2 linked regions of the Coturnix japonica genome follow. The protein of the gene in region 1 purifies or fractionates together with the protein of each later gene. This does not show direct contact. Links are inferred from orthologs where the notes say so. Each region holds a gene or a part of one and is shown on either strand. Other genes may lie near its edges.

Evidence for each region.
Region 2: the proteins of CCNK (region 1) and CDK12 purify together in Homo sapiens (affinity purification with mass spectrometry; 6 studies listed by BioGRID and IntAct, with this or other methods). This does not show direct contact. The link is inferred for Coturnix japonica from reciprocal best matches to the Homo sapiens genes CCNK and CDK12.

Annotation. Positions count from the first base shown.
Region 1 is NC_029520.1:43,658,299-43,662,858, forward strand, and holds the start of CCNK (cyclin-K), read left to right. Parts: upstream 1-1,646; 5' UTR 1,647-1,781; intron 1,782-2,860; exon of another isoform or gene 2,861-2,879; intron 2,880-3,068; 5' UTR 3,069-3,130; coding exon 3,131-3,327; intron 3,328-4,256; coding exon 4,257-4,338; intron 4,339-4,560. UniProt on the Homo sapiens protein: Regulatory subunit of cyclin-dependent kinases that mediates activation of target kinases.
Region 2 is NC_029542.1:3,844,263-3,848,781, forward strand, and holds the start of CDK12 (cyclin-dependent kinase 12), read left to right. Parts: upstream 1-1,713; 5' UTR 1,714-2,211; coding exon 2,212-3,257; intron 3,258-4,519. Other genes in the region: MED1 (mediator of RNA polymerase II transcription subunit 1), read right to left, coding at 287-393, 1,251-1,278. UniProt on the Homo sapiens protein: Cyclin-dependent kinase that phosphorylates the C-terminal domain (CTD) of the large subunit of RNA polymerase II (POLR2A), thereby acting as a key regulator of transcription elongation.

The sequences.
Region 1 (4,560 bases):
ACTTAACAGAGTAAAGTTATCTGGAAGCATCCCTGCCTTCCCACCATCACACCATTACCTTGAGTATGTATATTAAAATGCACATTACACTGTACATTTTATACCATGAACCAGATGTGGGGCATTCAGAACAGTACGGCCATTTACTCACCTACAGGAGTTTCAGTACACTTTTTATTTGGTTTTTAAACAAGCTTACAACTGAAAGGAGAAGAGTTGAGATGTCAAAGTAACGTTGTTAACACCCATAGAACAGAGGCATCCAAGAAGCATCTGGATAGAGAGCTAGAAGATATGGTTTAGAGGTTTTCTGTAGGTATGGTAAAGGGAGGACGGTTGGACTAGATGATCTTGTAGGTCCTTTTCAACCTTGTGATTTTATGAGGCATCATTTGAAGAGACAGGTTATATATTACATATATATATATATTACACATTCTCAGAAGGGAGACAGAAGTTGCACACAGCTTCAACTCATGAGCAAAATCAAGTTCATAGAAGAGCAGGTACCAGGCTTCTCAGCCCAAACTCTATGCTGCATAGAACAGCTTCCAAAACGAAAGCTGGGATTGTTCTGACAACTCTGTGCTGTGTTTGGGCAGCAAATCAATTGCAAATTGAGGAAGCTGTTCAGAACTAAAGACAACTGCAGACCACAAGCTTCACTTAAGCAACCCGATGAGTGCATGGGCGGGAAGAGGATGAGGAACAGCTGTGCAAAGTTGGGTTTCAGCAGCACCGAGCTGCCCAAAGAGCGACTTGCTTGCAGGCAAACAGCTTAAAGGGGACTCAGAAGTTATTTGACGTTTGACCCAACGCTACGGCCCCCCGCCCCGGATTTAGTGCTGGTGAACGGGAGGGTCAGAGGGAGCGAAAGGAAGGAGCGGGCAGCGTGATGGAAAGGGAAGGGATGACATCACGGGGAAAGCAGCTCCAAGCCGGGCGTCCCGCTCCGGCCTCCGAGGGCCAGGCTGGAAAGAGAGGTTGCACCGGGCTCAGCACAGCCTCATCACAACGGAGGGAGAAACGCGGCGGAGGGAGGAAAGCGAGGGGGCGGCGAGGCCTGGGCCGGAGGAGCGCAGGAAGGGAGGCGGCGGGGAGGGCCGCGGAGGGAAGGGCTCCGGGAACGAGCCCGCCGTGCGGGAGGCCGAAGCCCGAGGGGTCCCGGCACCGCCTGCACTTACCTCCCGCACGGAGCGGCCGCGGCCTCGGCTGCTGGGAGCGGCGCCGGACCCAGCCCGTCCCTCCGCCGGACGCCGCTGCCCGCGGGTGGGAGGCGGAGGGCGAGTGAGGCCCAACCCCGCACGGCCAGCGCACGGCCCCGCCCCCGTGCTGCTATTGGTCAAAGCACGGCCACAAGGCAAGCCCCGCCCCCAGCGGGACGCTCGGCAGCCAATCCGCTGCCTCGCCTGTAGGCACTAAAAAAGGGCATGGCGGCTCCCGCATTGGCTGGGAGAGAGCTCACTCCTTCGGCATCTCATTGGCTTGCGAGGTTTGCAATCTTGTCCTCTAAGCCCTTTGATTGGTCCATTCTAAGGCGAGGGGAGACTGCTCCTCGCGCTTAGCAGCCACTGAAACAGACGGGATTGGTTGCGGGAAGGTTCCGCCGCTTCTCATTGGCCGCCGCTCGGGGCTGGCGCGCTGAGTCCCGGTGACGTTGACGTGACGCCGCAGCGAGCGGACCGACCTGCTTCCCAAGATGGCGGCGCGCAGAGCGCGGGGGCCGCGCTGTCGTTAGAGGCCCGGCGCTCCACAACGCTCCGCTGTCCCACGCGAGGCCTGTGAGTGCGCGGGGAGCTGGGCGGCCTTCTACGGGTGGGGGCCCGCTCCTGAGGCGGGGAGCGGGGGCACCGGGTGTCTGTGTGAGCGGGGGAGGTGGCACGGAGCCGGGTGCGAAGGCCGCTCCCTGAGGGGAGTGCGAGGGAGCCGTGATCGGGGACCCCAGGGCTCCTCGGGGCTGGCGGGGTCCGGAGGGGGCGGCCCCGGGGCGCTGTGTGCCGGGGGGGGGGCGGGGAGAGGCGGTGTCGGGGCTGCGGGGCTCCGCACGCGGAAGTGGCTGTGACAGAAGCGGGCCCGGCTCTTTAAAAAGCTCCTTAAAAGTCGCCGTGGGGAGGAACCGAAACGGCTGCAGAGCCGTAAATGAGGGGGGGAGCCGGACAGAGCTGTAAGCGGCTGTTGGCCTGTGTGTGACAGCGGGCACAGGGCTGTGTCAGCACGGCGAGATGGGGAGGCCCTTGAGTGCAGTGATTGTAGGTGGCACCTGACCAGACAGACCTATCTCAGTTGCCTTGATCTTCATGATCTTTTTAACATGCATCTCTACTCTACTGTTTTTTTCTTAAGTAACTCAAGTGCAGATGATTTAACAAAGGTTTTATCCAAGTGTTGCCATTCTGGTAGTGTTTCCAAGAGACCCAGTAAAGTGCTGACAATAGCAGGACACGGGGAAATGGTTTTAAATTAAAAGAGGGAAGATTTAGGTTGGATGTTAGGGGGAAGTTCTTCTCTAGGAGAGTGGTTAGACCCTGGAACAGGCTGCCCAGGGAGGTTGTGGATGCCCCGTCCTTGGAGGTGTTCAAGACCAGGTTGGACGGGGCCCTGGGCAACCTGATCTAGTAAAGGTGTATGTTTGGTGGCCCTGCCAGGCAGGGGGGTTGGAACTACATGATCCTTGAGGTCCCTTCCAACCCGGGTCATTCTGTGATTCTGTGTTTAAATTCCTTTCAGGCTGACCTAACATATGTGTCCTGGTTTATGAAGAGTGATTTGATTTCATCTCCCTCTTTCAGCTGTTCAAATCTTGCTGCTGCTATCACTAAATTGTTCAGTCTTATTTTATGGACAAAATGGATTAAAGTTGTTCTACAGAAAAGTAGCAGGTGCTTTTGATAAAACGTTGAAGTTTCTCTATCAAAGAATTGCAAAAGTAATCATATATAAATCTAGTCTTTGAATTGTATTTGCATTATGTCAGGAAGATGAAAACGTGGTTAAATATTACTTGTCTGTGAGCATGGAAAAAAGATTCCCCTTCATTTTAACATAAGTTCTTTTTGCTTTTCTTAAAGGTTCCAAAGCTCCTAACTGGAAACTTTTTTGAAGCCATATCAAGCAAGATCAGTTCTAATAAATGAAGGAGAATAAAGAAAACTCCAGCCCTTCTGTAAACTTGGCAAATCTGGACCATACAAAGCCATGCTGGTACTGGGATAAGAAAGATTTGGCACATACACCTTCACAGCTTGAAGGGCTTGATCCAGCCACCGAGGCACGGTACCGCAGGGAGGGAGCCAGGTTCATATTTGATGTGGGAACACGTTTAGGGCTGTATCCTTTAAACTCCTGATAAAGTGTTGATGAACGGGGGTTTTAAGAGTTAAATATTGCAGAATATGTGTAGCTAGTTGTTCTAATGTTTCTTTATCATGAATCAAAAATCTTTCTGAGTGTTACTTGATAGTTTTAGCCATTTGTTGGGTAATCAAGGTGTTTTCTGAGAAGCAAGAGAGTTTAGTTTTGTCAATTATGGATATTCTGGCGGTTACCAGATATGGCCTCTTATATGATTTCTCAAACTTTGAATTTTATGTTTATTTTTCTATATTGTTTAACTTTGGAGATTCCAACCTGTGATCCACCACCCCCCACTTTGTTTTTCTTATAGGGTGGAATCTACAACTTTATGTATGTTGGTAATTTCTCCCCATTGTCTCAACTCATGGATACCACTCAAACTTTTTGCTTGCTATATCCCTGTTACTTCTTTTAATCCCGTGAGTTCTTTGTTTAATAGATCTTGAAGATATAATTTTGCATTTATTCTGGCAAAGAATAGTAGGGAGCCCGTTCATGTTGCAGCTGTGTTTGTAGGTATGAATATTTAGTAACTATTTCCTGCAGTAACAGTTTCATGAGGTGTGATACAAAGCGACACTTTTACTCCTGTTTGTGCCTAATTCTGCTTTTGACCTTCTTGATGATGGTGCTTATCACGCAGATGACCACGCATAGATGTGATATGGGCTTTTCTTACTCCCAGTAAATGCTTTAGGTGTCGGCTGCATCTGGATAGAATTTGCACAATCCTAAGGGGGTGTGGCTTCTGTTTCTCTTTTAATTGCAGTGTTTTTCAGCCAGTCGCTGAGTGGACAGTTCCTTGAGATATTTGATATATCAGAGTGTATCTTTTTCATTGGGTGTGTTTGATTTTACATTTGTTCTGTGACTTTCTTGAAGTTCCTTATCCTGCACCACAGACACTATGATACTTTAGCAACAGGAATAATTTATTTCCATCGGTTTTATATGTTTCATTCCTTCAAACAGTTCCCAAGATATGTAAGTATTTACAATATTGATTACCTAATACTGTGATTACATGAAGGATAGGCTTTCTGAAATGACTACAAGTCGAGGGCATTACTCCTTGCACAGCTCTTGCTGAATAAAATGATTAAATATTAACTTTTTATCTCTTATCAACACAGCTCCTGTTTATTCACACATTTTTTTATGGTTGGAAATGTGTTTGTGTTGGTAACATCTTGCTGATGCTTTTCT
Region 2 (4,519 bases), on another chromosome or scaffold:
GCAGTGGGTAAAACAGGCAGGTCTGGAATTGATTATTAAGCTTGCTCTTGTGAAAGATCAGACTGCAACAACTTCTTAAATAGCATAAGCTACGAGTTATATGAGAGGAGCAAGAGAAACAAAGAGAGATTAACTTTAACACCACAACACATACAGCAGCTTTTGATGATGCTCTTCCCTGCCTCCCACTCCTTTCTACCCTCACCAAGGTATTTCAAAGCTGCATCTGACTGAGATAACACTGAGTGTTGAGCATCACTGTAAAGGAAACCCCAGCACTTCTCACCATGACTTGACGGACCAGCTTCATGGTTTCAGTCCAAGGTCTGTTTTGGTTGTACTTTGCATGAAGTCTTTCTAAGAGAGCACTCATCTTATTCAGCTTCTCTGCCTCTGTCAGACAAAGCGGAATGAAAACATAGAAACAAAAGAGAACGTGAGCTGATTGCACAGCCCTTCCAAGCCGGGACACACTCAGCCTTTATAAATGTGTGCTGAATCCAATCTATACATTGTGGGGCTCTAAAACTCATTGTAGCACTTTATTAAGTTACATTGTTATGGAAGGCATCTCCCTGATACCAGGTATTTCTGGCTCCAACACAAGTCTATGGCAACATAACTGCCATAGAACATGACCCTACAAGGCCTATAGAATCAGAAGGGTTTATAAACTGATACACACAGATGTCATGGACTTAATGCCAACCCCATCAAATCAAAGCAGAACAAACAACCGAACGGTTCGCTACCACAGGAGCCCATCAGCCTTTATTTCCATCCACCACAGCCCCGCTCTGGAGCTGCTTAATGCCCAGCTTTGAGACCCATTGAGACCCATGGGGACCCCATTGAAGCCCATTCAGACCCATAGAAACCCACTGGGACCCATAGGGATCCATAGAGACCCAAAGTGGGGAGGGGACCCGACGACCCACACATGGTGAGTATGGACCCATAGGGACACATAGAGACCCCATAGAGACCCATAGGGACCCATAGAGATCCCATAGAGACCCATAGGGACCCATAGAGACCCATAGGGACCCATAGAGACCCCATAGGGACCCATAGGGACCCATAGGGACCCATAGAGACCCCATAGAGACCCACTGGGACCCCACGGCCGGGCTCCGCCGTTCCCTGCAGGCCCAACCGCCGTCCCTCGAGCTGTGGAACCCCCCCCATCCCGAGGAGGCCGGGCCTTCCCTCCGCCTCCACACAGCGCAGCCCCGCTAGGCCGCACTCACCCTCAGCGCCTCCCGGCACCGCCTTCATGCCTCAGGGAGGGGAGGGGCGGCCCGCGGCGGAGCCACAGGGCCGGTATCACGTCGATAAACGGGAAGGGATGGGGATAAACCGCGGCCGGGCCGCTCCGCTCCGGCCTCACACGGCGGCGCCCGCCGCCATCCCTCCGGCCGCGGCTCCCGCTTCTCGCGAGAACTTCTGAGTCTCGCGAGAGGTAGGGAGTCATGGTGAGAAGGGGGAGTGATTAGGGGGCGGGGCGTTGCGCTCAAGCCCCGCCCCCTGGATGCTGATTGGTGCTGAGCGGGCGGAAGGGGCGGGGCTTCGTGCGCTCCCCGGGACGGAGTAAAGTTCGTTCTCAGACCTCGCGAGAAGACGGTGCGCGCGCGCGCACTCCCTTCCGCCTTCCCAATTCTCAGCGCTTGAAATCTCGCGGGGGGAGGGCTCAGGCCGAGTCTCGCGAGAAGCAGCAGTTATCTCGCGAGACTTGGCGGGTGCCCCCCTTGGGCCGAGGAGCCGTTTCGCTTTGGGAAGTGAGCGGGGGGCGCTGGGCCGGGCCGGGGCGGCGGGGACCGAACGGGGCCGCACGGTGGGAACCCGGTACTGAGGGTTGGGACAGGGCGGGAGGGAACCGGACACAACGGGACCGGGAGGGATCGTGGGCCCAGCTCCCGCCTTCCCGGGGCTCCCCCCGCGGCGGCGCTGCCCTCCGGGCCTGGGCCCCTCGGATGAGGCGCTGAGGCCCGGTGTCCTTCCCCGCCGCTCCCGGTTCCGTTCCTTTCCCATTCTCCCTCTCCCCGTTGTTCCCTTCCTCCTCGCTCTCTCCGTCCCGCTCCCCATGCAGCAGGAGGTGCCGGGGGGCGGTGAATGGTTCGAATAGAGGGAGGCTGAGGGAGTTGGAAAGTCGAGGAGGATTTGGAGGAGCGCCCCCGCCTCCCCCTGTCCCAGCACAGTGGAGGAGGAGGAATGCCAAACCAAGAGAGACATGGGGGGAAGAAGGATGGGGGCGGCGGGGGGACCTCGCTGCACTCATCGGGCAGCTCCAATAGCAAGGAGAGGCACCGGGTGGCTTCAAGGCATAAGAGGCATAAATCCCGGCACTCCAAGGAGTCACCGTTGGCCGCCCAAGAGACGGCGGCGCCTCTGGGAGCTGTGATCAAACCGTTGGTGGAATACGATGATATCAGTTCGGATTCGGATACGTTCTCGGATGATTTGGCCCTTAAGTTGGACAGGAGGGAGAATGAGGAGAGGAAAGCGGATAGGAGCGAAAGGACGCAGAAACATCGACACCACCAGCACAAACGTATCCGTGAGCTGATGAAGAGCAAACAGGCAGAGAAAGAGAGGAAGTTGGAAAAGAGCCTGGAGGCCTCCAGCAGGTCCGGGTCTACCAAGGACAGGGTATCGGGGTCCTCTAAGAGACTGCTTGAAAGCGAGGAGCACCCGAAGGCCCCGTCCTCAAAGAGCAGCAACAAGGAATCCCGCTCAGCCAAAGCGCACAAGGAAAAGTCCAGGAAGGATCGGGAGCTCAAGTCCAGCCACAAAGAGCGAAGTAAAAGCCATCGGAAAAGGGATGCTCCCAAAAGTTATAAAACCATTGACAGTCCGAAACGGAAATCTAGAAGTCCCCATAGAAAATGGTTGGACAGCCCAAAATTGGATGACAGCCCTTCTGGAGCTTCCTACGTCCAGGAGTATGACCTCAGCCCGCCCCGCTCTCATACGTCCAGTACCTACGATCCCTATAGGAAGAGCCCCGGCGGCTCGTCACGCCGGCAGTCCATCAGCCCACCCTACAAGGAACCCGTGGCCTACCAGTCCAACACACGGTCTCCCAGTCCCTACAGCCGGAGGCAGAGGTCCATAAGCCCCTATAATAGGAGGCGCTCGTCGAGCTATGAGAGGGGGAGTGGATCGTACAGCGGGCGCTCACCGAGTCCCTACAGCCGAAGGCGCTCCAGCAGCCCTTTTGCTGCCAAGCGTTCCGTGAGCCGAAGCCCCATAGCCAGGTGTGTGCTCTCCACTGTGACTTCTTCCTCTTGGGGACTGGGGGAGGGACTGGGGGGGGGGAAAGGATGCATTGGGGTGGCTGGGTGTTAACCCTATTCTGCATCTGGATTGGGCCTGCTCTGGAGCAGTGCCATGATTTGGCAGCACGGTGTGTAATCACTCTGGGTCAGGTTCGTTGCTGTTTCCTGCAGTGGTGCTCAGCCTTGAGGAAACACCTCCTGGCTGGCACTGAGCAGCATCCATGTTGGCTCCCAGCAGTGGCCAGGGACAGAGCGAGCCCCGGGGATTGAGTTACACTCACCTCTGGAGGTGGCCCCCTGGCAGGGGGGGAGCTCTGTGCAGCACAGGGCCCGGATGCTCCTCAGTGCTGTGCAGCTCAATGGGAGGAATGTGTTCACCTCTGCTGGAACCCCTTATCTGTTTGCTGCGTGTGGAAATCTGATCTCACTCTTTAGGAGGTTTGTTTGTATTCTGTGTGTTTTGCTCTTTCTGAACTGACTTTTTTTCTTTCCTCTCTCCCTGAATTAGATGAGCGCATGTAAACTCCATCTTTTCAGCTTAAACTTTTCCTTTCTCAGTACTAGAGTTACTACTTTCCCTTCTGAAATTGGGGCATTCTGGAAAAAACAGGTAGAAATCATCTACATTTTGTCTTTCTTTAGATAGTAATCTTGTTACAGAAGGAAACTATTATTTGAAGGCTGTGTTGACTCTGTTTTATTTCAGATGCTCATTAATCTTCCTGTTACATACACAAATATGTGGTCTAATGTTTTTTCTTTCTAGCTTTGGATTCTGTTAAGTGAGTTTCCTGTTGTCACCATGGGTGCTGCGGAGCTTTGGTTGTAGCTCCATGGCAATTAAGATGCGACCTGGAATGTAATAACTATAGAACTGCTCTGCACTGTGCTGCATCCTCTGCTCCAAATATGAGCTGTGTGGAAGGAGGCTGCTCCAGGATGTGCTTGTGAGCAGCAGGTCTCTATTCCTTGGGGGTTTCTTGAGTTGAGCCTTTACTCTTAAAGCTTTTCCCTTGAGGTATTTTGTTGTCCATGGGGCAGTTGAGTTACAGCCTCTGTCCTCACTGTGAGAGATGCACTGTTTTCAGCTTCCTGGAAGCTGTTAAGTAAAATCTACCTCTTCTCCTGTGATATTTGGAAGCAGAAGTTATCCTGGCCCTCTCTTAAATCTCTGAGGTAATGAGGGATAGTCCTTGACATCTCTTTACCCTCCCCTCTATCCTTTCTGCTGTATGGTTGCA